Linked DNA regions of Styela clava. The protein of the gene in region 2 purifies or fractionates together with the protein of the main gene of each other region. This does not show direct contact. Links are inferred from orthologs where the notes say so. Each region holds a gene or a part of one and is shown on either strand. Other genes may lie near its edges.

Region 1 (7,739 bases), on a different chromosome or scaffold from region 2:
AGGTACGGTTTTACTCTTTTACCCAGGGTGTTGACCACAGTACCAAAACCATTCAACATCACAATGTCTTCTGTTGTCTGTTCCTGGAATGCATACAGTATACCATCAATCAATTGCTCCTCAAGTCTGTGATCAATATCTGCTGAACCGAGATTCACCAAAATTTTGTCTATTGTTTCCATAACCATCTTTCTGTATTGTTCATTTTCATCTTTAAGATCATCCACAATCCGTTGCACCATTTCAGCTGAACCGACTTTGTTTGCAATTTCAACTGTTGTGTCAACTAATTGTCTGTAATTACGTCGATCGAGAGCCATTCTCTGGTTCCAAAAATGCTTGAAAAAGGGAGGCAGAATTTCATTTTTAATGTACTGGGGTTCAACACCATCCGTTCCACAACATTGCTTCACCACTTTAAGTACAATTTTCTTCATTTCTTCATCAGGTGACTGAAACTCTCGAATCAGGATCAACATTACTTCACGAGTGTAGTAATTTGCATACTCGGCATCCATAAGTGGAATGAGGTACCCAATAGCCTTTAAAAAAGCTGCCAAACCTTTTCCTCTATGAGTTCTGATACCTTTCCAGAGAGGTTTCAGCACACTGTCAAAGGATTCGATACCATAAGGTGTTGCAGCTTCAGCTAACGCAGCCAAAGCAAGGGCAGTGATGGTTCTTACTTTCTGTTGTTCATCTTCCAAACCATGCTCGATAATTTCAACTAAGTTTCTCAAATGTGGGAGAATGGCACAACCCATCAAAATAGCAATCTGTTGTGTAATCTTGATTCCAGTGTGACGTGCCTGCCAGGATTTTTTACTCCTGCAAACGGCTTTCAGAAAGGGAAGCAGGGAGGGAATTCCAAGGGCAGATGCGACAACAGCAAAGGCTCTTGCAGTCGTATTACGCACATATTCATCCATGTTGTCAATATCAGGTCTCATTACGGAAATCATAGTAGCAAGTCCAGCTGCTTTTGCCAAATTTGAAATAATCTCACGTCCCTCCACTCTGGCATAATAGTCTTCATCAATCAGAAGTGGTTCAATGACGACAAGAATTTTATGTACATATGGCCGAACCATATCGTCCAACTTGTAAAGAATCCTGTCGATGACTTTAACGAGAAGATGACGCTCTTGATCTTCAAGAGTGGGTGACATGAGCAATGGCAAAATTTGATTGAACAAAGGTCCTGCACCAAATTCCCGAGACTTGTCTGTTATCTGACGCAGTGCACTTTTTCTCATTGGCGGCGTGCCATTTTTGATTTTGAGTAGAAGTTTCATTATTTTTCTTTCTTTTTGTTCCTCTAAACTCAATGTTGATTCATCTACTTCAACAAGTAGTTTGTCAAAATACTGAATATCATCAGGTTTCAAGAATGGCAGATTCCCAGTCGGCTGATCAGTAATTCCTTTCATCGACTTGTCTTCAACCTGGATATGAAACCCAGTGGATCCTCCCATTGGGGTTGGAGTTGCAGTAATTTTTCTTGCAGGTGTACGAATAGGAACATAACCAGCTGGTGGTTGCAAAACTTTGTAACCTTCAGGGAACATTCCGTCAAGCTCTTCATCAGATAGTGGGCGATTTCTTTCATCAATTTCCCGTTCCCACCTCCATGCTTGAAGTTGCTCAGGTGTCATGGACATCAAATGACCAGGAGTTGGAGTAGCCATAGCCATTGCTTTTGTACCCATGGGTGTGACACCTGAAGGGGTAAAGAGTGAGGGTGTTCCTAAAGAGCCTGGTGTTCCCATTCCTGATTTTGGGGTGAATGCGCTTGGAGTTCCACCAGGGGTAAAAACTGGAGTAGCAGACCCCGGTGTTTGACTTCCCGGTGTGGCAGCAGCTGGTGTCAAATCCCATCTTGATTTTCTCTTGCTGGTACCACCAGGAATTCTCTCAGATTCGTCTCCATGATCAGCTCTTGGTGTTTCAGCCCATCCAATATTTCTGCCAGGGGTTTCTCTTTCCGTTTTGGGAGTTTCATCCCATCTGTTTTTCCTTACACTTGCACTCGGTGTACCACCGATGCCTGGGGTTGCATGTCCAGGAGTTGTAGCACCTGGAGTAGCATGACCAGGTGTGGCATCCCACATTCTGGTACTTTGTCCTGGTGTTACCATTGCTCCAGGTGTTTCGCCACCTTTTGGTCTGCCAGGTGTTTCATCCCATCGCAATGGTGTTGGTGCATGTCCAGGAGTGGAAGCATCAGCCTGGTCCCATGTCATTCGTTTTTTTGGTGCATCAGGGGTTGGAGTTGCATCCCATCGCCTCTTTCTTTCTCTTTGAGCAGGTGCAGCGTTAGGTTGAACAGCTTTAGCATTTCCATTTACATGGACATCACCAGACTTCAGCTTTTCACTAATTTTCGATCTAATTTCCCGTTCTTCTTTAGTAAGAGCTTGGTGTGTCATAACATCTTTGTACTGCGCCAATTGAGGATCAGGTGTTTTACCACCATCAGCAAAAGGATCATGACGTGCAGGAGATATAGCTCTTTGTAACCTTTGTCTTCTATATTGGTCTTCCCTGTTTAGAATAGGTTGTGCTCTAGTTTCTGCAAAAGGGTCATAAGATTCATCACTCTGTGGGATATCGTTAAGAACAGCTGCAGGAGCAGTGTATGTCTGTCGTTTTCCCAGTAAAGCGGCATTCACATCTTCAACTTCATCATCATCCTCTTGTTCATTTGGAGCGATGGATGTTACATATCCTGCAAATTTACTATTCGAACCGCCATAGATCTCCTGATCATAATGACCTTCTTGACCGAGTCCAACTCGAGCTTCACCATCTGTTGGTTGTTCAGGGGAACCCTCATCTTCATTCTTGCTCAATGCAACTTTCCTTTTTTGGATCGCCTCAATCTCAGACACATAATCATCCTTTGTTGCCATTTCGAGGCAACGTGTATTTGAATACCTTTAATACTATATTTTTTAGTGTTTTATATTATTCTAAAAGATAAAAAGCAATAAGTTATTAGCACTTTATTAGTTTTCGATAAGCTGTGCCTGTAGGCAGTATAACTCACTGCAAACAATTATAAATACTTACAGTTACAAGCGCCAATGCAATAACATTCAACAAGACTGGAGTTCATGATACACCAGTAGTTACCAAGATGGCTTTTAACACATGTCCTACTTGGCCAAAACAAACAATATTCAGCCTGATATGGAGAACAATGGATGACTTAGGAGCACTAGAAATTTTGAACATAAAGCTCATCTGGAACTCATACATTTGGATCCTTTCAAATTAATTATTTCAGCGCAAGTATCAAAAAATTATAGAATAAGCTTGTTAAAAATTGCTTGTTGGATTTCAATAAGCTATTACAAAAGAATTAGGTACCTACATATTCACTATATCTCAAATTTCCCAAAAACATTCATGAAATATTACAAACCGAATTACCAAATCAGTTTTTAATAGTAGATCAAAAAACAGTTAAGACCAGATGTGGCTTATTAACTGTAGTGTTGTAGTATCCCATTTAGCTACACACATCAACTTGGCCCCAAAAACCGCACTCCACATGGGCCACTACACCCTCAACAATTACAATTTTTGAGAAATATTCATCAATTTCACTTCAGTCCTATGAAGTTGATGTTGGCTTAAAAATATGACCTTTTTTAGACAGTACTTCCATAATACGAATCATGTTTTCGCAATCACTCGTACCTTGGTGAAGTTCACCAAAAACTTCCAAGTCTAACAATCGCAGCATAGCATGGAGTCGACCTTTGCCAAGTCTAGGCCATTTTCCCATCGTTAATGCATACGACTTGTTTATATTTACATAAGGATAAAAATATTTAGGTAAAGTCAAATTTTTCATCTTACATTCACTGGGTAACATTTTCATCAAGTCCCAATCACCAGATGTACAAAAAATAAAGTTCTTATTATCACTAAGGACATGTTTTTCCATCCAAATGTCAAACAATTGCATAACTTCTTTTAAAGTAGGCTTATCATCTACTTGGAATTGAGTAATTCCAGTTAACTGCATACAAAATTCTGATAATATTGGTTGTATAGTTGGTCGGACGAAGGAATGAAAACATTCTTCGATTTGATATGTTGATGAATTAACTTTAAATGCTGGAAATTCTATAATCTCTTGATCATAGGTTAGTTTTGATCTCTCACAAGTTGCTTCAAAATCAAGAACAATGAAATAGTCATATATCTGATGCCTTCTCAAGTCTTCCGGCTTCTTCTGCACAAGATCAGTGAGTAACACTTGTTTTTTCCTTGATATATTACGGCAGCTCAGTACGAGTGGGAAGAAACTTTGAGCTCTATTGTATTTTTTCAACAGAAGCATCATATAACTTAATTTGATCAATAGAAAAAAAAATATTCAAATAAAGTACTTATAATGGATGAAAATTTGGGGACCGGGTCCACTCATTTGATTAAGACGATGATCGCGTAATAACAGTTGCGTTTTTCTGAACTAATTTATAGTTTTGTGAGCAAAATAAAAATAACTACCCGTGGTAGTACAGCACCCAATACCTGTGCATACCTGAGATAATTGTGGTGGAATTTAGCTTAACAATGTCGATGGACCAAATCAGTGGTTGCCAACCTTTCTACCATGGTGGAAAAATTAAATAAAGTGTACTCGCAGACCGGCAAAAATTGAAATGAGTGGAACAGAACATATATTTGCACAATGTCGGACAATCAGTATATACTCTTCAAAAAAAAAGGGTACACTTAAAAACATTTCACATGAGGAAAAACTATCAAATAATGTGCAGAACAGAAAGAGCGCGCATGCTCATTTTCAGATTTTGGAAACTTGCGAGATTAGACGGAGCGATTCGCGATGAATCGGAACCGAAAAAGCGAAAAGTGTGATTACTCGGCGCCAAACGTCACCGGGCCATACCACACCTATCAAACAGCAATATGACGGCGGAAGAGAAATTGCGTAATAAACCAACGTAACTACCTCTTTTCGGCTTCAGTAAAGCGATTGGGGCGGTAGAAAAACACATTAAAATTTTCGCGGACCGGCGGTTGGGAAACACTCGACTAAATGACACTTACACTGACGATAAACAGTCAGGATTTATAACAAAAAATTAGCGGTGTTAAAAAGTGTGTGTGTTGTTAATGAGGACTTCTGGACTTCGATTTTACTGCATAATTTAAAACATTTCACTGGACGCCTAGCTGCTCTGTCTCTGTGCTTTCCAGTTTACCACAATTCATAGATAGGCCTATATGAATTGTAATGTTCATATCGGTACAGTAATACCGGTACAGGTTTCTTTTCCTAGAAGCAAGAAAATCACTAATTTCAATCATATCTGACTTACCATTTGTCTGTTTGTACTTATGACTGTTTTACAATGATACATTCATAAAGCTGTAAAGCCTAATTCCTATGTACTTGGATTTTAGAAAACTGAATAATATTTATGTCGGTACCTGTACCGGTACCTATGAAGCTATGTCTGTATGTGGGGGATTTTAGAATGTATTCGGAATTCCAGATTTGAAAATATTTTTTAGAATGTACGGGTATTCGAAATACTGAAGTATTAGATGATGGCCATCACTGTTAACTTTTCAAGCTCTACGTCTGTACATCCTTATATCGATACACATGTCTGCATGTAAACACCTGCAGACCTGTCTGTCTGACATTCTGACATTACATCATTATGTTTTCTGCCAAAAAGGTAAAAAATCTTGAGCCACAGCTCTAGTAGTGTAGTAGCAACTTTACCACATCATTTTTTGTATGTATAATGTACCGCACTTATTCCTCCTCCTAATCCACTTCTTCCAATGAATAATAGAATTTGGGGCCAAACAAATAGTGGCCAGCCCGTAACTTCCATCGACCAACGCTACATGGCAAAACGTTTTTCATGCGTTTCAGTATAGAATAGAAAGTATGTTGCCACATCTACACTTGTATAAAAAAAAACGAATTTCAAATATTTGTACCTTTACGCATTAAAAGTATTTAAAATTAAAAACTTACTAAAATAATAAGTTTAATACACATAAATTAAAAGTATATCAATAACATTTGAAAGTTTGTATGCGTGTATTGGCTGTAGTTTATAATTTAACATGGGTTGTTCTCCATTCTATTTTTCAATTATTCCCCGAAATTAAGTTCCATTAGTATTCCAATATTAGCCCTATAAGACTCATTTTATTTCTGACTTTTAATGCCTTCATGTACAATATTTTACTTGATAGGTACTCTCAAAGCGGGAACACTCAATTTACCTTTAGGCACCTCCTCTCAAGTATTTGTACACCTATCTCATTCCAGCGAATCGATGGAGTAGGCTATATTAGCAACATCTATGGGTGTTCATATTCACTGGAATCATACTATTAAATTTACAGTACGCGTCATTCAACAATATAAAACCCACAAAAAGCATATACTGTATTATTTTGCATATTCCAGCTTAAGCTCAATTTTGAGATCTTGCAATTTTTATTGTTTTTTTGTACCTTATAAACTGTCGTTTTAATTTATTTTGTTACTTTGTAATGATTTTGTTTAATGATTTATATATATGCTGCGCAATTTTTTCACTATTTACACAAAATGTTATTGTGTGTTCTTCAATCCGAAATACCCGATTCCACACAATTTATGCTCCATTTACTCAAAAATACTTATTCATGTCAAATTTGATCAATACCACACTTGATCAAGTGTGTAACATTTCCGAAATTTTATTTAGCGTTAAACGCCTATATGTTATTGCCTATTGTGTATTTCCTTTCCATGGAAACTTAATGTTGTTTTTAGACACACCTGAAATACGTTAAAACATATCTGAACCATTTTTTATTCATGTTTATTGATATTACTATCGGGTGGTAACTGACCCGATGACCGCATGGTCGTATCGTTGCCACCCAGTCAATACCGAAAACTGTTTTGCTTTTTGATAATTATGTTTTTTTGTTGTGTAAATTTTTTTCTGGTGAACAAAACAAATAAACTCTCACTCTCTGTATTGTCTTTCGTGGCCGGAAAGCAGAATGAGTATGATTGACTTGAATGAAAAAACACTTGTTTGTTGCTTTAAAAAATATATACGAAAATCAAGCAACAAAAAATTCTACATATACAAACATATTGGGAATGTAACAAAGTAAAAAAATCTTCAAATGCAAAAAGAGACCTATAATTAGTGGTTCAAATGCGTACTGATATCAATCCACATTATAGGTGAAATCAAATGTCACCGACATTTGTCACCGGTGGACATGATAATTTGTAAATCAACAGGCGAATGTCCATTCATCAACATAGCTCACATTTGACTTGGAAACCAGTGAAAAACACCTCCACAACTACAGGCATTATTGTGACGTAACAATGTAAAACCAAACACAAGTGACGTAACAACTAGCTTGACGTGAATCTTGCTGGATACGTTCTTCATCCTCATTCTCTATCAGAGATGTACTGGTACTACTTTTGCTGCCGATACTGACAAGATACCAACAAAACAAAAAACGCTGATACCGATATGCCGATATCATCGGATACCGATATTCCGGTACTATGTAATTATTAGCTCACGTGTGCAGGGCAGACGGTCTGTGAGCGTTGTTTGTATGTAGTAGTAGTAGTAGTAGTAGTATTTTATTTCGTCAACAATGTCAAAATCAAAATACAACATACAACATTTCAAAATTAATTTCCAAGGCAT
Region 2 (7,066 bases):
TCATTTCTCGTTTTATTTCTTCTTCAGCAAGTTGAAGCGAGTTTAAGTTAGCTTTGGTTTTTGCATTCATTGGTCGAAGAATAGTTTCATTTATTACGGAAGGTCTTGGCAGCTCTCTTTTTATAATAGTGTGCCTTTTCTCAAGTTCAGCCGCTCTAGCTGCTTCTATTTTTGCTTGTTTTTCTGCCTCTATTTCGGCAGCATCTTCAATAAAATCAGATGGAATATTATCATGATGTTCCTCTTCCCCTTCACCATTCATATCTTCAGGAAGAACAATTTCAAAATCATTTCTAGGCGCAGGTAACTTTATGAGGGAGGCTTTCAAATGCTGTCTTTCATCTATTCCATCAAATGGAGTGGCTCCCCCATCTGAACCTTCTACATTTATGTTAAGTTTATCCCTGACTGGTGTCATACCAGGTGTATTTCGAATGCTAGAAGCCGGAGTCAGCATACCTGGTGTCGCTGCTGGATTTTTATCAGCAGGAGTTTGAAAGGGTGTAGAAATAACTGTATTTGGTGTTTGAATGTATTTCTGTTGCGGAGTGATCCCGGAAAAATCACTATCGGTCACTTCTGTGTTCAGTCCACCTTTCAAAGGAGTGTCAACATTGGACAGCGCCATTATATTTTGGGCTTCTTTCATAACAGTATCAACTTGCATCATTGGTGTGCGCGGAGTCCTCATTGCAGATACGTTTGGAGTAACACTGTAATCTGCAAGTAGAGCATCAGAAGCAGCATTTCCTTCTTCTACAACTTGTTTAGCAGCTTCAGAAGCTTGACCAAGCTTTACAACTTCTTCTAATTCTGCATCAGAGATCTGTGGAGCAGGAAGCACAAGTTTGGACCGTTTCTTAACTGGTTCTGTCGGCTTAGCTATTAGAGAAGGCAGCTCTTTATCCTTGACTTTTTGTTTGTCTTTTCTTCTTTCTTGAGATTCCTTCTTTTGTCTGCTGACATCATCAAGATGTTCCTGTCTCAAACGTTTGAAATCTGGATCATCTGGATTGAAGGTCTCATTAGAAGTATCATGAAACCCTGCTGCAGGAAGCTTACGAAAAGGAATTTCCTCATTATAATCAACACCACGTTTCTTTCGCCTCCTTTTACGAACTCCAATACCAGCTGCACGAAGTTCTCTACGTTTTTGAAGTGAAGCCAATCTTCTGGCTTCTTCCAGCTGCTTCTCTCTTGCTTTTCGCTTTGCTTTTTTACCTGTAATATTTCAAACATTTAGCCAATACTGTATATTGAAATTCGCATAATTTTAATAATAATATCTAATGACCTTGAGTATTCGCAAGTCTTGCTCTTGCTTCACTCAACATCTCTAATTCATCTTCATCCATATCAATTGGATCAGGCCTGGCAGGTTTAGTTTCTGGTGCTGGATCAATCTCTCCAGGTTTAAGCTTTCTTGGATCATCCTGTAATATGAACGTATTTCATAAAAGCTACACATTACAATTATATGCATGACAAAATGGAATTATCTTAGTTTGCCGACCCCCAATCTATAATTACAACTGCATTCATTTTTGACTTTGTGATGGGTCCTTTGCATTCGAAAATGTTAATTAAACAGCTGTTTGCAGCATTGAAAACATGCATAAAATTCCAGAAAGGTTGCATAGTTTTGTGCGTATAACATTGGGTTTTAGAAAATCATGCACAGAACATAAACATCTTTTTTCAATATCACCCATTTCATCCAACCCAATCTTATTTTAACATAATTCCGGGGCATCTAACACCCCCAAAATATAACACAATTTTGAATTTAAAGTTAGTATAGAACTAGTAATGGAATTTTTTACAATTCATTAGAGTATAATATTTTCAAGATTCGAATGGCCTTGCATTCTGCATATCGGTATTCGATTACTAGTCAATACAGAGTTGAGTCTGGAATAACCATCTAACATAGTGTGTAAAATACGGAACATGACAAGTTGGTTCACAAAAGAAAACAAAATCCAGTAGTAGCTTGTTATATACTGTCAACGTTTAGAAGAAAAGCTCTCATGAAAAAGAAATTCATCCATTCAAAATTTTTTAAATTTCAATAAAAAATACATAACCAATTACATTTGAAGTAATAAACATTTAGTTATAAAACATGGCAAACCTGAGCATCGTCATCTTCATCCTCTTTCTGAGCAGCTTTATCAAGTAAATATTCGTAATGTTCAAGGCATTGTGCTGCTGTTCTCCCTACTATTGGAGCAATTGTACGCCACTGTGTCGGCATCAACTTGGCCAAATGAAGAAGCTTCTCTTCTTCCTCTCTTGACCATTCTGTTTTTTTGATGCTCGGATCTAGCCATTCGTACCTACAAAAAATCATATTATGTCTGAAGTCTTTTTCACCAGATGATTAGCATTTTTTGTGTGAAGTTGTCCCTGTTCTGCAGTTACGTATCCATATAAAATGGCACCCATGGCAGAGTTAAGAAAAGCCCCCTTCATCGCTAGCTGACAATTTTCAATGGCTGATTTTGAATTGAGATACTTGTACTTATCATTTCAGTAAAAACATGAGTTTTATACCCTACATACGCCACTGGGTTGTCCTAAATGAAAGGCCATCATTGCGCTGAGAATGTCAAAATATTTTAAATTTCACGTAAAATTTGAAAAAAAAACTTTTTGCAGTAACTGTAGCCAAACTTGTTCTGCAATGTTTCGCCGTGCAATTTTAATGAAAAAATATGGTTGATATCAGTGTCAGAGCAGTTCACAATAGCAGCAAGAGTAAAACGATGGTTCTTTTATTCTTACCATCTAGCTTTGCACTGCTTCGCAGACTTTCTGTGAAGTAGAGAAGCAATACGAGACCATTGATTCAGACCATATTTCATTACAGCAGCTTTCAGAATTTCATCTTCTGTGTTCCGCCACACACCTCCTTTAATTGTTATTCTAGGCATTTTACCAGTGTATCACTGTTATATTATGTTTAGGGTAAAGTAGACTATAGAAATGAAAGAAGCAGTAGCTTAACGAGTTGATACAGTAATACCGTAATGGTTAGTCCTGTCCAGTCAGCCAGTTACTGTTACTATTTCCGGTACCTTGGCCTGAAGACAGAGAACCATTTTTTTGTATTTCTGTACCATTTGTAACCGTACTCTTGTACTCGGAGATGTGGCGCATCGCGCACCACGGGCAGGAGGCCGTGGTTCGCCATGCAGCCATGTCAGCATGTGATCAAGCCGTCTTATCGTTTTCCCTCTTCTCCGCGATATATACGGTACCGGTACGGTATGGCGCGGCGGTGTGGCTCAACGGGCTAAGCGTTAGGAATACGCTTGCCACCGCACCTCTAATTACTCTGCGTGGGTTCGCAGGTTCGAATCCCATGCAGGGATGGTTATGTGCGAGAGGATTGCTGGACTCCTTGCCGTCGTTGGGTGGTTCACGTAACCGCTGGTCGGTTACGGCTTCCTCCACCACCAAGTCCATGCTTCCGAAAACAAACAATACAGTAAAACTAATCCCATACCGGTACCCGACTTGGAATGGTAACCGGACGAGAGGCCGTGGTTCGCCATATGGATACGCCGTCTTATCGGCTTTCCTCTCCCCCGGGATAAATATGTAAAATCCTATCCTATGTAAATCCTACCTCTCGTTTTTATGCGTTTCTGCCAAACCGTTTAGCTTATTGTTGGATGAAGTGGTGCGTTATCAGAATGCCGAAATAAATCTTACTGGTAGCCTATATTGTAGTACCGGTACTACCTGACTGTAGTAAGTTGCAATTCGCTTGTGTGTTTAAAAATTACATCAAACGCAACTAATAAAGTCAGTCAATGTAGTCACCAATGCACTGATGATAGACTTGCGAGTTGTGGAGTCAAACTTTGGCATGTTTTTGTAGGAGTCGTATTTGCAAACTTGTCAGAGTCGAAATTTTGAATTCTCGGAGTCAGAATTTTGGATATAAGTTTATTTTAACCTTCTTGAAAAAAAAATACACTAAACAATGAACACGCAAAAGATTGGAAAATCGAAAAAACTGGCAAAACCCGTGATGTGGTTTACAACACGCAGAAACACATGTGTCAGTTTACCCATATTACACACATAAAAACCAGTGGCGGCGCGTGGTCATTTTGACAACCGGGGCAAGCTACTGTGGGACTAAGTCACCCCCATCTATGGGGACAGAATGAGCGCTGTAAGTTCTCCCATCATTTTATGAGTATAAAAACCATTCAATCGTTTTGAAACCTCTTTCAAAAGGAAAGGCAATATTTACCCAGATAAATACAATGACATATTAACAGAAACTTCGGGAAAGCAGACAAAACCTAAAATAAGGTTTAAAACGTTACTATGAAGAAAGGAAAGCTAATGCAAAGATAAAGACAGGCGTCGCTCACTCATGGATATATATGCTGCTAGACTTCTACTGCTTGAACATATATGCAACACGCCGCGGTTTCTTGGAAGCAAAATGCTCAATAACGCGCTGATTAAAGTCATGCATCCCAGAAATAACGTCTCTGTGAATGGATAAAACAGCCAAGGAATTTAATCTATCTTGCTTCATTGTGTTTCTGAGATACGTTTTATTACGCTTCAGCGTGCTGAATGTTCGCTCTGCGTCGGCGGAAGAAATAGGCGTCGTCAAAATGATGTCCAGAAATTTTGCAGACGCCGCAAAGGTAGTTACTAGAGTGTTATCTATGAGGAACCCATAGAGCGCGCAAGTTGATGTGATGTTCAAAAAAGTTTGATTGGTGTATATACATCGCAATTCATTTTCCAATTTACCCACGTTTAACGTGGGGTAAAATTTGGAAACAGTAGCCAACAAATGGATGGGAAATTACCGTGCAAATTTTAAAAAATTTTTGGGATTCATCAAAGAGAACGCGGCAAGGTGTTCAGTGCGCAGACGATCGCCTATTTGATTCACAAGAATGTCACAGCATTCCTTTGCAGACAAAATCAAACGCTGCGTTGTTTGCCCGCGGCGTAAAGAAGCACTCCATGTGTCGTCGTATTTTATTGTTTCCCGGATACGAGATACAGCATCGCAGAAGTCTGAAATACACGACTGCACAGACGCTCCATCCATTAGCCTTGACTGCAATGCGCCGTATAATACATCCACGTGATAGAATATTGTGGAGAAAAAAGCGAGAAAAAATTAAAAACTCACCATCTTCTAGCAGACGCTTTAGACCTGCCGCCTCCCTCACAGAGCGTTCGTCCCAAACCGGATAGCTCTGAATGCCATTGAAACACTCAACGAGCTCAGACCTAATTTCGGACACGCCCTGCACCACGCGTGATTGGAAGTTTCAACGTGTTGGTGCACAAGCTGGGAGACGGCGGCTACATATCTGGCGAAGGAGGTCAGAGCGCTTCGGCGAAACGGAAAAAAATGAAGAAAACCCCGAAACATTTGCAAAAAATATACGGACGAAAGGGGTATCAAGACACATATTTTTAATAACGAGGTTAAATTGGTGTGCATAACAATGTAAAAAATGCGCATGAGGAAAATCGTCTTTTAAATAAACTTGAACACCATGTTTCGACCCACTCATGACTGCCGCGCCGTCATAAGTTTGAGCTATCAATTTTGACTTCGCGTTGTAAGGCTGTAACACTTTTTTCAGTACAGCCGATATCCCGCAAGCCGTGCGATCAACGATTGGTACAAAGCTGTGAAATCTCTCGGTAGGTTTACCATCTTTCACAAACCGAAAAATCACAGCCAGTTGGGAAACGCACGTGATGTCAGTTGTCTCGTCAGACTGAATCGAAAGGAACTGGCAATTCTCAATTTCCAGAGCCAAATGTTGTAAATAAATTTTATACATTGAGTCGAGCAAATCATTTTGGATATCCTTAGATGTCCCTTTCGAAACAGTTGCGGCATCAAGATGATCTCTCAATACTGTATCTAGGGATGCGGTGTATTCCACCATATCCAAAAATACCCCTCTATTAGAAGAGCCAGCCCGTTCATCGTGCCCACGGAGGGACAGCTCGTGAAAACCAATGAACTTCAAAACATCTATCAATCGACCGAGAACATGGCGATTTTTCTCGACGTTTTGGTTGTGCCGACGAATAGAAACCGCGCGTCCTTCATCCAACTGTGCTGCAATATTAACATTTCCGAATGTTCGGTATTTTACTGCATTGTCCAGATGCTCCATAGAAGATTGATGATCCCTGGCACGCTCGGAAAGATGTTTAAGATCTCTAAAACCAAATTTACACCAACGTGAGTCACGGGCGGTAGCAAAAAGTAGGCAATAAAAACAAAAAAGTCCATTTTTGTCCTCGCTGTAACACAACCATTCGTGTTTTTTTATACCAAGTTTCTGCGCAGAATGTACGCCGACGCTTTCCTCCGTCATGGGATTGTTCCAGTGAACAATTTTTTGGTTGATAAGGCCCAAGACGTTGTACCTCTAATTTTTGTTCCAGCGGCAGCTGCGAAAACGGAGTGCGAAGTAGTGCATCAACCTTATTCATTATGAGGTCTAAGGCTAAGAAATGCGAAGCCGGAAAGAAGTGAGGAGCTCAAAAGGAATGTGGAAAATCGAAAGCAAATGGACTAAAAGTCTCTAACTGATTCAAATAGCGAAACAAGCGACAAAAACGAAGGCGAGGAAACTATCAACTCTTCAAGCAACCAACGAACGAGAAGGAATGCGTGAATATGTCAACACGTTGTTGTAAGAAACGCCGGTATTGTGTCGTCATAATTTCGGGGCTAGCCCCGATCGGCCCAATGATTTAGTAAAAGAAACAGAAAACAAACGAGCGAGTGGAAGATAAAAGAGAGAATACGATATACAATGAGCAAAATCGGCGTCGCCCCGTCGACGTTCGGCGAAGGCTTTGCGAGCGAAAAATGAACCATGTCGGGAGAATATGGCTAGTGTAGACGGTCTGTGCAACCGATATTGAGGTATTTTTCGAATATTTTTTATTATACCGAAAAAACAACCGGGGCATTGCCCCGGTTGGCCCTATTGACGCGCCGCCACTGATAAAAACATATATTAAAGTAAAAAAGAAAAGTTTA
Region 3 (6,815 bases), on a different chromosome or scaffold from region 2:
TCCATACAAGCATGAAATATCGTTGTTTGGGGCGTATCATAACAATCAACAATAAGAAACGTAAACGAAAATTTCCACACGAAATTGAGACAACTCATGGCATCATATGCAACCATCAGTTCATATGCCACGAATTTTACACTTACTTTGTAAATGTTGGTCCTAATCTTGCATCGAAACTGACAAATAATTCTATGAAGTATTTGGGAAAACCTCAGAAAAATTCAATCTATCTGGAGCCTATACTAGCATATGAAACTATTTCCATTGTAAACAAAATGGATTCAAGAAAAGCTTCTGGTCCGGACGGTCTGTATATTCGTGTTCCAAATCTTATGATTTATATCATTAGCAAGTACTCTACAGATTTCTTTAAAGCATGCATGTAGCAAGGAGTTTTTCCTCAATGCCTGAAAGTGGCAAAAGTGACACCTGTGTTAAAATCAGGAGATCCAAACATAGTGAGCAATTATTAACCAATTTCAGTGCTCACAGCTATATCGAAAGTTTTTGAAAATCTTTCGCATTCCAGATTGACAGAATATTCGGACAAATTCGATATTTTGTCAGATAAACAATTCGGTTTTACATTGAAACACTCAACTATTCACGCAGTTTTAGACAGCGTTACTCATCATTATTAGGGATGGCGAAATCGAGTCCGGATTCGATTACAGAATCGATTCCATGCACCGGAATCGATTCTCGAGTTTGAAACTTTGTTTGCAAACAATGTGTAACGTTTAGTGGCAATTTCTTCACATATATATATATGTATAAACTGCTTCACTGCTATGTTGAGTTGCTACGACACCACAAACTTCACTATATATAATATATATATTATAAATATCGCTAGTAGGCTTTAACGTTTATTTATTTTAAAAATCTCTGTGGGTTTTGAGGGATTCGTTTTTTTTTTGTGCGGTTTTGTCTCCTGTGGCATATTGGATACCCATACTACTTAGTTTCGGCCTTCTTGTCCGTCCAGAATTTGAACATCGCTGTCTTGCTTGATTTCATATGGTATTGCTTGGGTGGGTATATTTTTTCGGTAATATGTCGAGGAATCGAGAATCGGAATCGAAAATTTAGGAATCGGATAAGAATCGAATACTTGTAAGTACTCATACTTGGCATCCTTAATCATTATATGAATATTGGGAGAAAAAAAACATTTTGTTAACATTTATGTCGACTTGGAAAAGGTTTTTGACACCATTGATCACTCAATATTATTGCAGTAAATTCATCATTATGGTATACGAGGTAAACCATGGCGCTGATCAAAAGTTACATAAGCGAACGTATGCAATATGTCATTTATGGTAATGTGAGGTCTACGTCAAAACATGTTAATATGTTTATACCACAAGGTTCTGTTTTGGGGCCTCAATTTTCTTGACTTTTCCGTGTAAATTTCTCAGTGAAAAATCAGATTCAGATATTTATTTTACCGTGCAAGAATCAATGTAAAGCAATAAACGCACACAAGAATAAAAAAATACGGGAACACACTGATTCATAACAATTGATGAGGGGTCGCGAAAAACTCAATTAGTCGTCTAATCAGCGATACCTGAATTGAGCAGAAAATATAGGGAAGAAACAAGTTTCAAAGAAAATTAACCAAAAAACACAATCACGAAGAGAACAACAATTAGTAATAGGAACTAAAGAAATTAGGAGAACCATTATTTTGGGTGAGTTTGGTGGAAAAACGATTTACATAATAAGAGTGTTCCATATGAGTGCACATCACTCTGCTTAAAAAATAGGTAGTGAATGCTGGAGGAAGTTTTTCGTTGTGGTGGTGATGGTGCATTAATTTCAACATTTCAATTTTGTAAATATCAACCAAGTCTACGATAAATAGGACTAAGACGAGTGCATATTCTACATCTGAAATCGCTTGATTCTGTAGAATTTCGATGCGATGCAATAAGGTTTTATCTGCTGAACCACGCGCCACAATACCATATTGAATATGGGATTGAAATAAAGAATAGGAGACCATACGTAAAGTGGTTAGCTATGTAAAATGTCGAAGCTTGTATAGTATTCCCACTGACTTGGCTAATTTAACAGCCAGGTCAGATATTTGAACGTCCCATGCACTTCATTTTGTTATCTATATATAAACCAAGATATATATATGAATTGACATTTTCAAGTTCTGTATCATCAATTTGGACTGTCAGACTATTTTGAGCTTTACTTTTATTTGGTGATATTAATTACCATAGTTTTTGATTTATCGATGTTTTTTGGCTCTCATACAATTTGCTACTTTTGCAATTTCAGTGTTCACTCTCTATTGAAGGGCTACATGAGATTTGTCACTATCGAGGAGATTGGTATCATCGGCAAACAATTTGGAAAATAATGAAGAACAACGAGTTATGTCTAGAGCTGGGCATTTCGAATCGCCGCCATCTTATTTTTTTTTCTCATCGCCAATGGTCAACGTATATTCCTTAATTTTTTTTTTATTGAAGCCTTATTTTTTCAATGCATTCCAGACATATGACTATTTTCTGTAGTGATTTATTGATAAAACGTGTTTCTTATTGCGTGTGAACGCTCGCAATTTGTCTGAGTGATGTATTCTACGTTTTCAGTAATTCATTCGTTGAAAGAATCAGTTACAATAAAAAAAATTGTATACAATTATATATATCTCAAGTATTCGAGATTCGATTCGATTCTGGAATCATCAGGTATTCGAATATGCCCAGCCCTAGTTATGTCATTAATAAATACAAAAAATCTAAGAGGTCCTAAACAACTACCTTGTGGGAACCCGTGAAACACCGGTAAGAAAAGGATTTGTACCTACTTGAACATACTGTGTGATCTGCCGCTCAATTTACGCCTTACGGTATCGAAGCTCTTCTTCAAATCTAAAAAGGTTGCACCAACAAACTCCTTTTTTTATAGTTTGTCATATATAAAAAATATAGTACCCAAAATGGCATACGATGTTGAAAACTGTTTTGGAAACCGAATAGAGATTAATTCATGACAACATATTTAATGAAAAAACTAGTAAGCCTCTTGTGAATTGAGCGTACAAACAAAAATTTTATCAATCGATGAAAGAATAGATATCGGTCTATAATTTGAAGCAAGTTTTTTGTTTCCAGATTTAAAAAGAGGAATTACCCGCTCAATTTTGAGAGATGAAGGGAATATGCCGAGTGAGAGATAGCAATTAAAGAACTCTGTTAGACACGGAGCAACAAGGTCAGCAACATATTTGAGGCCGGAATATTGTCTGGCCCAACTGCCTTCCTAACCTTCAGATTTTGAATTTCTACCAACAGTTCATTTGCGGTAGCCAAACTCATAAAAATGGACTTGCTCACGCGATTATGGGGAAGATGTTTGAAATTACCCGAATCATTTGAAAACTTCTCAGAGAGGCTGGACCCAATGGTTCAGAAGTACTTAAATTTGTTCGAAATCGAAAAGTCAAACCTAGTGATACTGCCATTTTTCAGACAGATTTCCTCAACTTGTTGCTTTGATTTATTATGTGTGTTTTTGATTTTGTTAAATATTTGCCATGTTGATCTAAGGTGTGCGTGCTGGTGGGCAGGCACATGAGATACTTCATGTTTTAAACTTTTTTGTAGGTTTTGCTTGCCCTCCAGAATTCTCCATTTTTAATTTAGGTTTGTTATGGAGTTTTCGAAATAAACTATCTATCTATCTAAGGTTACCTCTGTTTTGGACAATAAGGTTTTGGTAATAACTTCGTTTTGGTTTCTTTGCGATGAAGTCTTGGCTTTTTTTTATCTCCTCCACTTCAGAGGGATAGTTGAGATTTCACTTCCTTCAGAAATTCATCTAGTGATGACAACGACTCCTGGATGCCAATACTAGAGGGGGGAGAGTAAAGAAACATCATGGGCCAACCTTTCCATGGGTTGTTTAATGATGGTTGGTATTTCAAGTCTCAGAGTTTTTAATATTTCACTCTCAAGCACTGTTACCAGGTCGGACATTTTACTTTCGGGCAGTTTGGTAACTGTATAGGTACTAGCAGCTTGACGATCAGTGGAGCTTTTGCGCTTGACATTTTCTTGTACGAAGATCAAAAGATCGTAACTGACGTTTTGAGTTCAAGCAGATAGATTTTCAGATGTTTTAAGAATACATTATAGAGTATATATTATAAAGTATAGACTATGGTATTGCTCAGCTATATCTGCAAACTTAAAACAGCGAATATATAATCGATTTTTTTTGTGTATTCGTGCTCTCGTGTTAATTTGTGACTTCATTGCATAAAGATGAATGCGTTTGATAGCTTCTGTAAAATAAACGCAACTTCTTATGCTGTTCTTTGTTGTAAATTGCTTGGCTAGGGAGGTCTGATTTTGGTCAGACGAAACGTTTCTAAGTGTGCAGCAGGACTCTTGAATTGCATAGTTACAGAAAATGTGCAACTTTCGTTAATGGGAACAAGCTGTAATGCGTTTAGTGTGTTGATTTTCATACGAAACTAAAAAAATTATTATATTACCATATGTGCGATACGAAACTCATTTTATAGTCGTTTTCGAGGGCCTCGTCTCACGGTATATTGGAATTTTTAAGGGGTCAAGGGTCGGGGAAACGAAATTACTGATTGGAGTCTACTATATTATATACGACTTACTTTTGCCGCTCGTACTCGTAGCTCGCTTGTCGGTTGGTGAGTGGAATTTTCTTTTCAGCGTCATTGCTGGATCATAATCGGTTTTAATCTGTATCTACATACGGAGTAACTGCAAAATGGCGTGAGTACAATATAACAGTTTTTATGTTTTATAAACTAGTTATCAACATGATTTTGCATGAGAAAAATAGCGACAATGTGAATCATTGGTTAGTTAATGTTTGAGGGAGCCCTTGGAAATTTTCTACTACAAAAATGAAACGTTAGGAGCAATATAATATTTCCATGTTTTATTTGCAAAATAGGTTTTTAATCATTATTTTAGTCAAAAGACCCGCAGGTACCGGTACCTCCCAAAAAAATCCCCAAAAAATGATGACGTAAAATCCGGTACCGGTACATAACCACGTGAATATACAGGTAATACGGGTAGCGCTATAAAACCATGGCGAGAGGTACCGTGATTCTTTCGTGGCAGGTGCCATCATGAAGTGGTAATAATTGTGTCACCTGTTTTGCGCTGGTTTCCACTGTTTCGCGCTGTTTTCCTCTGTAATGCGATGTATTCAGTAAGTAGTACAGTAGTAAGACCCCCGTTAACAGCCTTAATTATAGTAACTCAGTAATTATCAATATTTATAACGATAGTTAGCCTACTTCTACTGATTGATATTAACATTTCATACTTGATATAATCCTGTAATCTGAACTCGAAATATGCTTGTTTTGGCTTTACAGCTTTAATGTTGTGAGTGAAGCGGTCTAGTCCACCTCCAGTCTGCCAGACCGCTTTATACATTCAACGACTGAACTAGGCAATACAGAAATCCCCATTTGGTATCAAGTTACTGCATAAGGCAGTAAGTGGACTCTCAAATACTGAAATATAGACAGCTTGACAATATCTTTTACCCCATATTTTCCTATACGTTTCGCTCCAGTTTACTAATTCGGTATTCAATTCGACAACTACAGTGCGCTTGCAAACAAACCAAGGAGTGAGATGACTGCTGAGGAGTTGGAGGCACGAGAAAAAGAAGAATTTCAAACTGGTCCTTTATCAGTGTTGACTGATTCAGTGAAAAACAATACACAAATATTGATCAACTGCAGAAATAACAGAAAGTTACTTGCTAGAGTTAAAGCATTCGATAGGTAAGCAGATTTTGCTATATAAAATATTGCTAAAGTATATGAAACGGTATTGTAAGTTCCCACACAGATTTGATTTATTCTCATGCAACAACAGTTTTATCTCTGTTAACAGGCATTGCAATATGGTTCTGGAAAATGTGAAGGAGATGTGGACAGAAACTCCAAAAACTGGTAAAGGAAAGACGAAGCAGAAGCCTGTTAATCGTGATCGTTTTATAAGCAAGATGTTTATTCGTGGAGACTCTATCATTATTGTGCTGAAGAATCCTCTTGCTTCAGCTGAGTCCAAGGCTTAGTTGTTTTTTTTTTCGCAGCTACATCTAGTTTGACATATAGATGCCTAACTGCTGTAGCTGCGAATATCATTTTTATCAACCTGCTTGAAGACAAATTTTCAGGTATTCCTGCGCATATATGTTGTACAGGAGCCAGAAGTCTGCAATCATGGTTTTATATTGATTTTCAATAAAAAGAAGACATTGTTTCAAATTGTATTGCGTCGAGTCTGCTATAGTATTAGTGTGCAGTCAATTTTGGAAGAAAACTATCACTGCGTCTGGGATTCTTTGAAAACTGATATTTAGATATTAAAAACTAGATGTGTATCTGAGCGTAGCTCTGTGCAACAAAAAATAAGATTTCTCAGCCCTAGTATATTGGGTGTTTGATGCGTCCAGTGAACTAACTTTATTCATTGATATTATTTTGTGACAATTTCGCTTGTAGTTATTCCAAATTGAAAGAAAGTTAACGATCATATGGTGTTATACTAAATAAAATCAGCTTTGGAAATATTTCTCTGGTACGATAATTGGTGATGTTTATTACCTTTATATTAAAAGTAGGCGTAGTCCATTTGTAACGGTTACAAGCTGACATATAATGTTAGGCGGTGGTTCCCCGTTTTTTTTTAAGAGAAATGCGTGAAGAATTTCTTATTGGCACGCAGACCTCGACGAGAAAAAATAAAACTATCACGACGAAAGATATCAAT
Region 4 (6,263 bases), on a different chromosome or scaffold from region 2:
TTTGTTAATATCTTTCAAATAATATTTTAAAATTGTTAATCAATATATCAACTTTGATTGGTGTCTGATTACTGGGGGGTTCGGGTTGACTGAAGTATTTCAGTCCAAGCTGTCGAACCCGATTTAAACAGGCCCATGTAATTCCGTGTCATTCAAAAATATGGGAAACATTAGTTCTGTCAGAAATAAGATATATCTTTCTGAGATATAATCTAGTTTCCACAACAGCTAGATAATTCATAGCAATATGTCCAAGTAACTTTGAGGGAGTACCGTACTATTCAACCTGCTTGCTGAACTCTCCTAACAAATTCAACTGTCTGGTGGCGGCGAAAAATATTTGAGAAAGCAGATGATTGCAATATCTGATGCAGTTACAACTTCTCATACATAATGAGCATCATAATCTGTGGAAACCCGTTTCAAAAACAAGGCATATTGACTTGCTGAATACCTCTAATTTCTGTCAGTTTGGAGAACAAACATTAGTTCTTCACGCATGCAAAAATTCAAAAGAACAATTGTAAAATATTCATTGTTGTAATACAGTAATAAAATGATTGTAAATCCCAATGAAACATGGTTGAAATGAATTGCAAAAGAACAATTTTTCTTTTAGGAATAAGACTGCAGGATGAAATTTTTGAAAATGATTGTAAGTCCCAATGAAACATGAATTTTTCTTTTAAGAATAAAACTGCAAGATAAAATTTTGGTGTACCGCAAATTTCTTGTCTAGCATTAGATAACCAGACAACCAGGGTTGAAAAGGAGTTCCTTTAGCCCTGATTTATAATTGATTATCAGCAAGTACAGTCAAATTACGATAAACAGAGTGCCAATATGATTATTTTGAGCTGCATGAAGTCGAAAGGAAATTTCATTGGTCATAAAATTGTTTAATAATAATCCCAAATAACTCGATATTCAAATCCAGCATTCTTATTATTTTAATATCTCCTTGGTGGGCCACCTCTTCCACGACCACGCATTCCTCTTCCGCGACCACGGCCTCTACCACCGCGTCCTCCTCTGCCTCCACGACTGTCTCTGAAGGTTCTTGGTCTAGGCCCTTCATCTACGAGCAAGGTATCCAATGGAAGAGAATCCGGCAATATATAATAACGAATATTATTGCCACGAATGCTGAGTGTCTCCAAGGTGACTGGCTCCCTGTTCTTAACAGTCATTTTAACTGATTTCAAATGCGTATTCATACAAATATCTACGCCAGTGATGGTGCCATGCACCTGGGTACCATTTTTCAGTTCAATAGTAACTGTCTCATGGCTGAGTTTCATCAAAAATCTTGCGAGCTTCATAGCTGAAGTCTGCGAAAAACAGAAACGCAACAAACACGCCAGTCAACGAAGCGGGAATTATGTTTTACAACAGTGCCTAAAGTGGTCAGTGATAACCTTTGACCGCATATTCCAGTGAAGTCGTAATGAGTTCATTTTGACTCCATATTCAGCATAAAAGACGATAAAATAATAATAAGAAAATAAATAAATAAAACTGATATCAGAACCGGAAAGCGAACAAAATCTTTAAGTAAGGGCTAAAACCGTAGTAGTATATATTTACGCTAAAACGTACAAATTTCAGATTAGAAGGTGTTGTCAAAAGAAGTAGTAGCCTACGTGCTTGCTGAAGTCAAGTTAAGTGAAATTTATTTTTTCCAACCAGTAAAAAACAAAAAAACATGCAAAAATATAAAGAACCAAGAGAGCTACACCCAAATAGAGGACTTACACGGGTCACGTGACCTTGTTTACTGGACGGCAATAAAACAAAAACGTCCATTTGGCTCCTGTCAGTTGCAAGTCGGATTATACGTTTCCGTTTTGTTTGCCTGTTGAAAATGGTTATTTCGTATTGTTCCGTTGGCTGTACGTAAAGTATAGACAACGAAATGGATCTTCAGTTATATTCCACTGATTTCAAAAGATCCGGAACGTCGCGCAATGTGGATATTATCTATTGCCTATTGGCAGAACTGCTTGGTGTCAAGTCCAGAAGCCATCTTACCTGTGTTTCACTGTTTGCAGATAGCACTTCGTTGACAGTGAGTGATAGTGTGCCGATATCTTTTTTTTTAAATATTCACAAGCTCCCTCATTTCAATGGAAAGCAGATGACAAACTACTGTTATTAGTAGGCCTAGGCGTGGGCCTACTTGCAGTTGCAGACTTGACCTATGTAAGACAATAAAGAATTATTAATCAATTGCTATAAGGTATTGTTTCCCTAATTAGCAGGTAATCTATTACTAAGTGTGAAAGGTTGAATAGATAACTAAAGTTTAACACCAGTGGTCATGCAAAAAATAACCAGAATTCAATTGAATTCGCCATCTATGAATACGCTCGCCACCGCCTCTCTGATCACTCTGGTAGTTTCACAATCCCGTGCGGGGATAGTTATGTGCGAGAGGATTGCAGCTCTACTCCCACCGAGGGTGGTTCACATGACCGCTGATCGGTTACGACCATTCCCCACCATCCAAGTCCATGCTTCTGAAAACAAATAACTGGCTCCCCTTGTGTGACAGCTTGCGTGACTTGATAATACATTCTCAGTATCCATTTATTGATGCTTATCGTAATGACATAGTAACTTGTGATTACTGTGGATTGGTGGAGATAAAGTGTCCATTGTTCTTTAACGAAAGCAACTTCAAGACGACCCTATCAAGAAAAAAAATTGTTTTGGTGGGTTTGGTAGGGAAGGTTTTAGTCAAACGTTGGACACCGATACTACAACCAGATACAGTTGCCAATGAAACTTACCGAGGCGTAATATTTCGACTTTGTGATCTGAAAAGAAATTCTGATGGGTAGCCGGCTAGCCGCAACTTTTTTTAAAGAATATTATGAGATATGACTTAAGAGTCTAAACTTTTATTTGAGAGGGGTGTAACCCAAGATAATTTGCAAATGGTATTCATGGTACCAAATGTATCACACACTTTACAGTAATTATAAATTATATTTTAAAAATAAAGCACATCAAAAATGTATTTTTAAAAAACAATTGGTTTTATCTGCAGATACTAGGTTGATATTGACCATTTCAATGCTAAATTTTCTTTAGTCAAAAGGCACACTTGATTCGCAAAGATTTGAGAATGCGCACAGTACACCAATTTGTCTAATGTTTTGATTCCATAGGCAGGAGGTTGTGGATCGGTGCTGCTCAGGATGGGATATTTTTGCCTCTAAATGCATATTACGTGTTTCACATGAATCCATCGTGCTCAGATTCGACTGTTTTCAAGGTCTGAAGGCTCCAACAGCCTTATTTCATGGGTACACAAGAGAATTTTCATTGTGGCATGCATGAGTCAGTTGGAGTCACTAACCTCAAGATATATATAAGCAAGGATAAGATAACCTGAAAGTAACATTCAACAATTTAGAGTAACAAATGTATCTGCCTCCACAGCCCTTTCAAATGGAAGATATGATGCCTCGGGGGTAATTTATATCAAATATTTTACAGTATTATGGTTCTAGTGAAAAGGGGTGTAGGCGGCTTTTTTTAAATTGTGGTAGGTCTAGTCGAAAGACACATTGAATGTTTATGCTAACAACTGCAAATATTGCAACGCATACAAGTTAACAAAATTTGTTGAAATGGTCCTGCCTTTTGCCTTTCTTCAAAATCCCCCTTTTTCTAAATATTCTCTTCCACTCTGGGGATGGCGAAAATTCAAATATTGATGGGACATATAAGCAGCTGATAATGGGTTATCTTCCCTTTTCCTGAAAATAAATTAAACACTAATCATCATTTGACAGTGCCAAGTTTGTGTATCAGATCAGTAATAAATTACCTGCTAACTAACAAAACAATAAGACAAACAACACCTGATGACCATTAATGAAGATTTCTTTCAATTTAAAACGCAACTATGCCTACCAATGTGGGTAGTTTTTAAGATATAATTTATCTGTGGTTGGGGACAGATCGCAAGGTGCAACATCGTACGATTACCATTCCATGTCAGGATTAGTTAGCCAGTTATTCGTTTTAGAAGCATGGACTTGATGGTGGGGGATGTCGTAATCGACCAGCGATCGTTTGACGAGTTCTGTTCGAAATAACCGTGTTCTTAAAATATATGACGGGGGGGGAGGGGGGGGTTCGCTGTTCCAGCCACCTTCAGCCTGAGATGAATGAGGAGATTGGGAGATTGTTGGTAAAATATTTTGCTTAGGCCTCCGTGTTAATATGTTTGAGCATTGCTATCTTGTATTTCAAATGTTCCGACAACAACAGGACCCGCCAACTGCATTTCGTGTTAAAGTCAAGGTTCGCATGTGACGATTTGCTTTATTTAAACTTAAAGAGTGCACACATCTTTCAGAAAATCATCAAATGGGTCTACAGTACTGAATATCATAAGTTGAAATTGTATTCAAAGCATTCCATTTTAAATGCCAATGCATTAAATTCTATAACCCCTATGTCTACCACCTCTTCAAACAAATCAATTTATTTTATATTTAAGTTTGCCCAAAGCAAAGTCCCGAACCCTAAAATAAAATTGTAAAGATTAAGTATAAGAAAATTACAGACGAGAAGTGGAGCGTCAAGGGTCATATATATGTTTCCTCAATTGATAAGTAGGATAAACTCGAAAACAAAAGCATCCATATGCAAATAAGTGAATATGTACTTTTCCAAGGCTTGCGTGAAAAAAGGATGTGGAAACCCTTCAGTAAAAAGTTCTAAAAATAAATTGTACTCAAGAAGAATACACTATATGACCGGACTCAATCCTACATTCTCCTTTTTGTGTTGAAGGTTTATTTTGAAAATTTTACAGCGTAAAATATTCAGTTTCTAAATAATGTGAAGAAATAATACATCGCCTTCACAATATCTTGCCTAAACAATCAAGCGTTTGGTAGAATGTTTATTCAATCGTTCTTTCTTGATGTGCCATAAAAAGTATTATATAAATGACAAATATTGAAAAAATCACATAAAAGTTAGACGCTCGGTCCCCTCAATCACGCCTTATAAAGACGGCTCATTTGTTATAAATCGTCAGCGTTTACAAACAACACCATTCGAATTAGATGTCGGCGGTGCGTTGTACATGCCTTCACCCCACCAAGCAAAAGTTGTAAGCCCAGCTTGTAGAAATACGTTTGTGTACATGGTGAATTCATTTCCAATCCTGGGTTGATATTGAGCCCATTTCGTGTAGTTTGTAGATGTTCCGATAACGGCACCATTCTGAAAAATAGATCAACGATTAAACTGAAAACAAAACATTTATAGGAAATAAATTTACCCATGGTAAAATGGAAATGGAATAATAGAAAACGGGTTTCAAGAATTTTGATGACTTGTTCGAATAGTCCATACTGCTCACAAACAATGTTTTTCATCAAATCTGCCTCACATTCGGATGATGATACAAGATATGATCTATCGTGAACTTTTAAAGGATAGCCTACAATCTCACATTACCCAAGAACAAAAGATGTCAAACGTTCCATCAAATTTAAGCAGATGAGACCTTATTTTGCTTTGAATGAAGATATAAAACAATTTCTTTTTATATGACCAGGAAAATGTGATCTACTGTAGCCTGGTTTACGAGTTGACTTTGACATTTCGCCTTGTGCGAGCGCGACTAATCCGAGTACGGTATTTTGATATCATCCTATGCATGTGAAGCACATGATGGAACCTATAAAATTCCTTTGTGTAGTGCCTTCGGACTCCGTTGACCCCACTAAAAACCACTGTAATAGAGAATTGATCAAATATCAATAACTGGTAATAGGCTTGCACGTAATTGACAAAAATCAATTCCGTAATTACGGCAAAATCAATTACGTAATGACCCCGTAATTGCGATATTTTTTCACGCATTTAAACCTATCATAACAACCAATTGAATCCACTTCTTTTCCGAATGGGACATTAAAGTTGGGTTTTCATATTCTTGGCAATAATACACGCCGGTGGCAGATGTTAAAGACAAATATCAAGGAGTGAATTCAAATTAATTTTATTCTGATTTATATCGTTTGTGTTAGCTTTGGTTTTCCTTTATCACCTTCGCAAATTGACCGTCCCATTTTTATGCCATCAATTTTATCATTACCGACACTGGTATACGGATATTTATGGAAACGATAGTTTTTTTAAATCGACTTTCGTACTGAATAAAAATTACGGGTTTCCAATTTATTAACCAACGACGAGAGTATTCTCTCGTTTGATTATACTTGCGATTT

Evidence for each region.
Region 1: the proteins of cell division cycle 5-like protein (region 2) and splicing factor 3B subunit 1-like purify together in Homo sapiens (affinity purification with mass spectrometry; 5 studies listed by BioGRID and IntAct, with this or other methods). This does not show direct contact. The link is inferred for Styela clava from reciprocal best matches to the Homo sapiens genes CDC5L and SF3B1.
Region 3: the proteins of cell division cycle 5-like protein (region 2) and small nuclear ribonucleoprotein Sm D2-like fractionate together in Homo sapiens (co-fractionation; 3 studies listed by BioGRID, with this or other methods). This does not show direct contact. The link is inferred for Styela clava from reciprocal best matches to the Homo sapiens genes CDC5L and SNRPD2.
Region 4: the proteins of cell division cycle 5-like protein (region 2) and small nuclear ribonucleoprotein Sm D1-like purify together in Homo sapiens (affinity purification with mass spectrometry; 4 studies listed by BioGRID and IntAct, with this or other methods). This does not show direct contact. The link is inferred for Styela clava from reciprocal best matches to the Homo sapiens genes CDC5L and SNRPD1.

The regions. Positions count from the first base shown.
Region 1 is NC_135251.1:15,526,374-15,534,112, forward strand, and holds the start of splicing factor 3B subunit 1-like, read right to left. Parts: upstream 3,014-7,739; 5' UTR 2,913-3,013; coding exon 1-2,912. Other genes in the region: ERI1 exoribonuclease 3-like, read right to left, coding at 3,620-4,357. UniProt on the Homo sapiens protein: Component of the 17S U2 SnRNP complex of the spliceosome, a large ribonucleoprotein complex that removes introns from transcribed pre-mRNAs.
Region 2 is NC_135252.1:11,955,306-11,962,371, forward strand, and holds the start of cell division cycle 5-like protein, read right to left. Parts: upstream 3,015-7,066; 5' UTR 2,937-3,014; coding exon 2,788-2,936; intron 2,340-2,787; coding exon 2,135-2,339; intron 1,434-2,134; coding exon 1,295-1,433; intron 1,222-1,294; coding exon 1-1,221.
Region 3 is NC_135253.1:644,751-651,565, forward strand, and holds small nuclear ribonucleoprotein Sm D2-like, read left to right. Parts: upstream 1-4,626; 5' UTR 4,627-4,782; coding exon 4,783-4,787; intron 4,788-5,641; coding exon 5,642-5,821; intron 5,822-5,933; coding exon 5,934-6,117; 3' UTR 6,118-6,310; downstream 6,311-6,815. UniProt on the Homo sapiens protein: Plays a role in pre-mRNA splicing as a core component of the spliceosomal U1, U2, U4 and U5 small nuclear ribonucleoproteins (snRNPs), the building blocks of the spliceosome.
Region 4 is NC_135254.1:11,227,645-11,233,907, forward strand, and holds small nuclear ribonucleoprotein Sm D1-like, read right to left. Parts: upstream 1,381-6,263; 5' UTR 1,323-1,380; coding exon 951-1,322; 3' UTR 522-950; downstream 1-521. Other genes in the region: uncharacterized protein LOC120344877, read right to left, coding at 5,059-5,250. UniProt on the Homo sapiens protein: Plays a role in pre-mRNA splicing as a core component of the spliceosomal U1, U2, U4 and U5 small nuclear ribonucleoproteins (snRNPs), the building blocks of the spliceosome.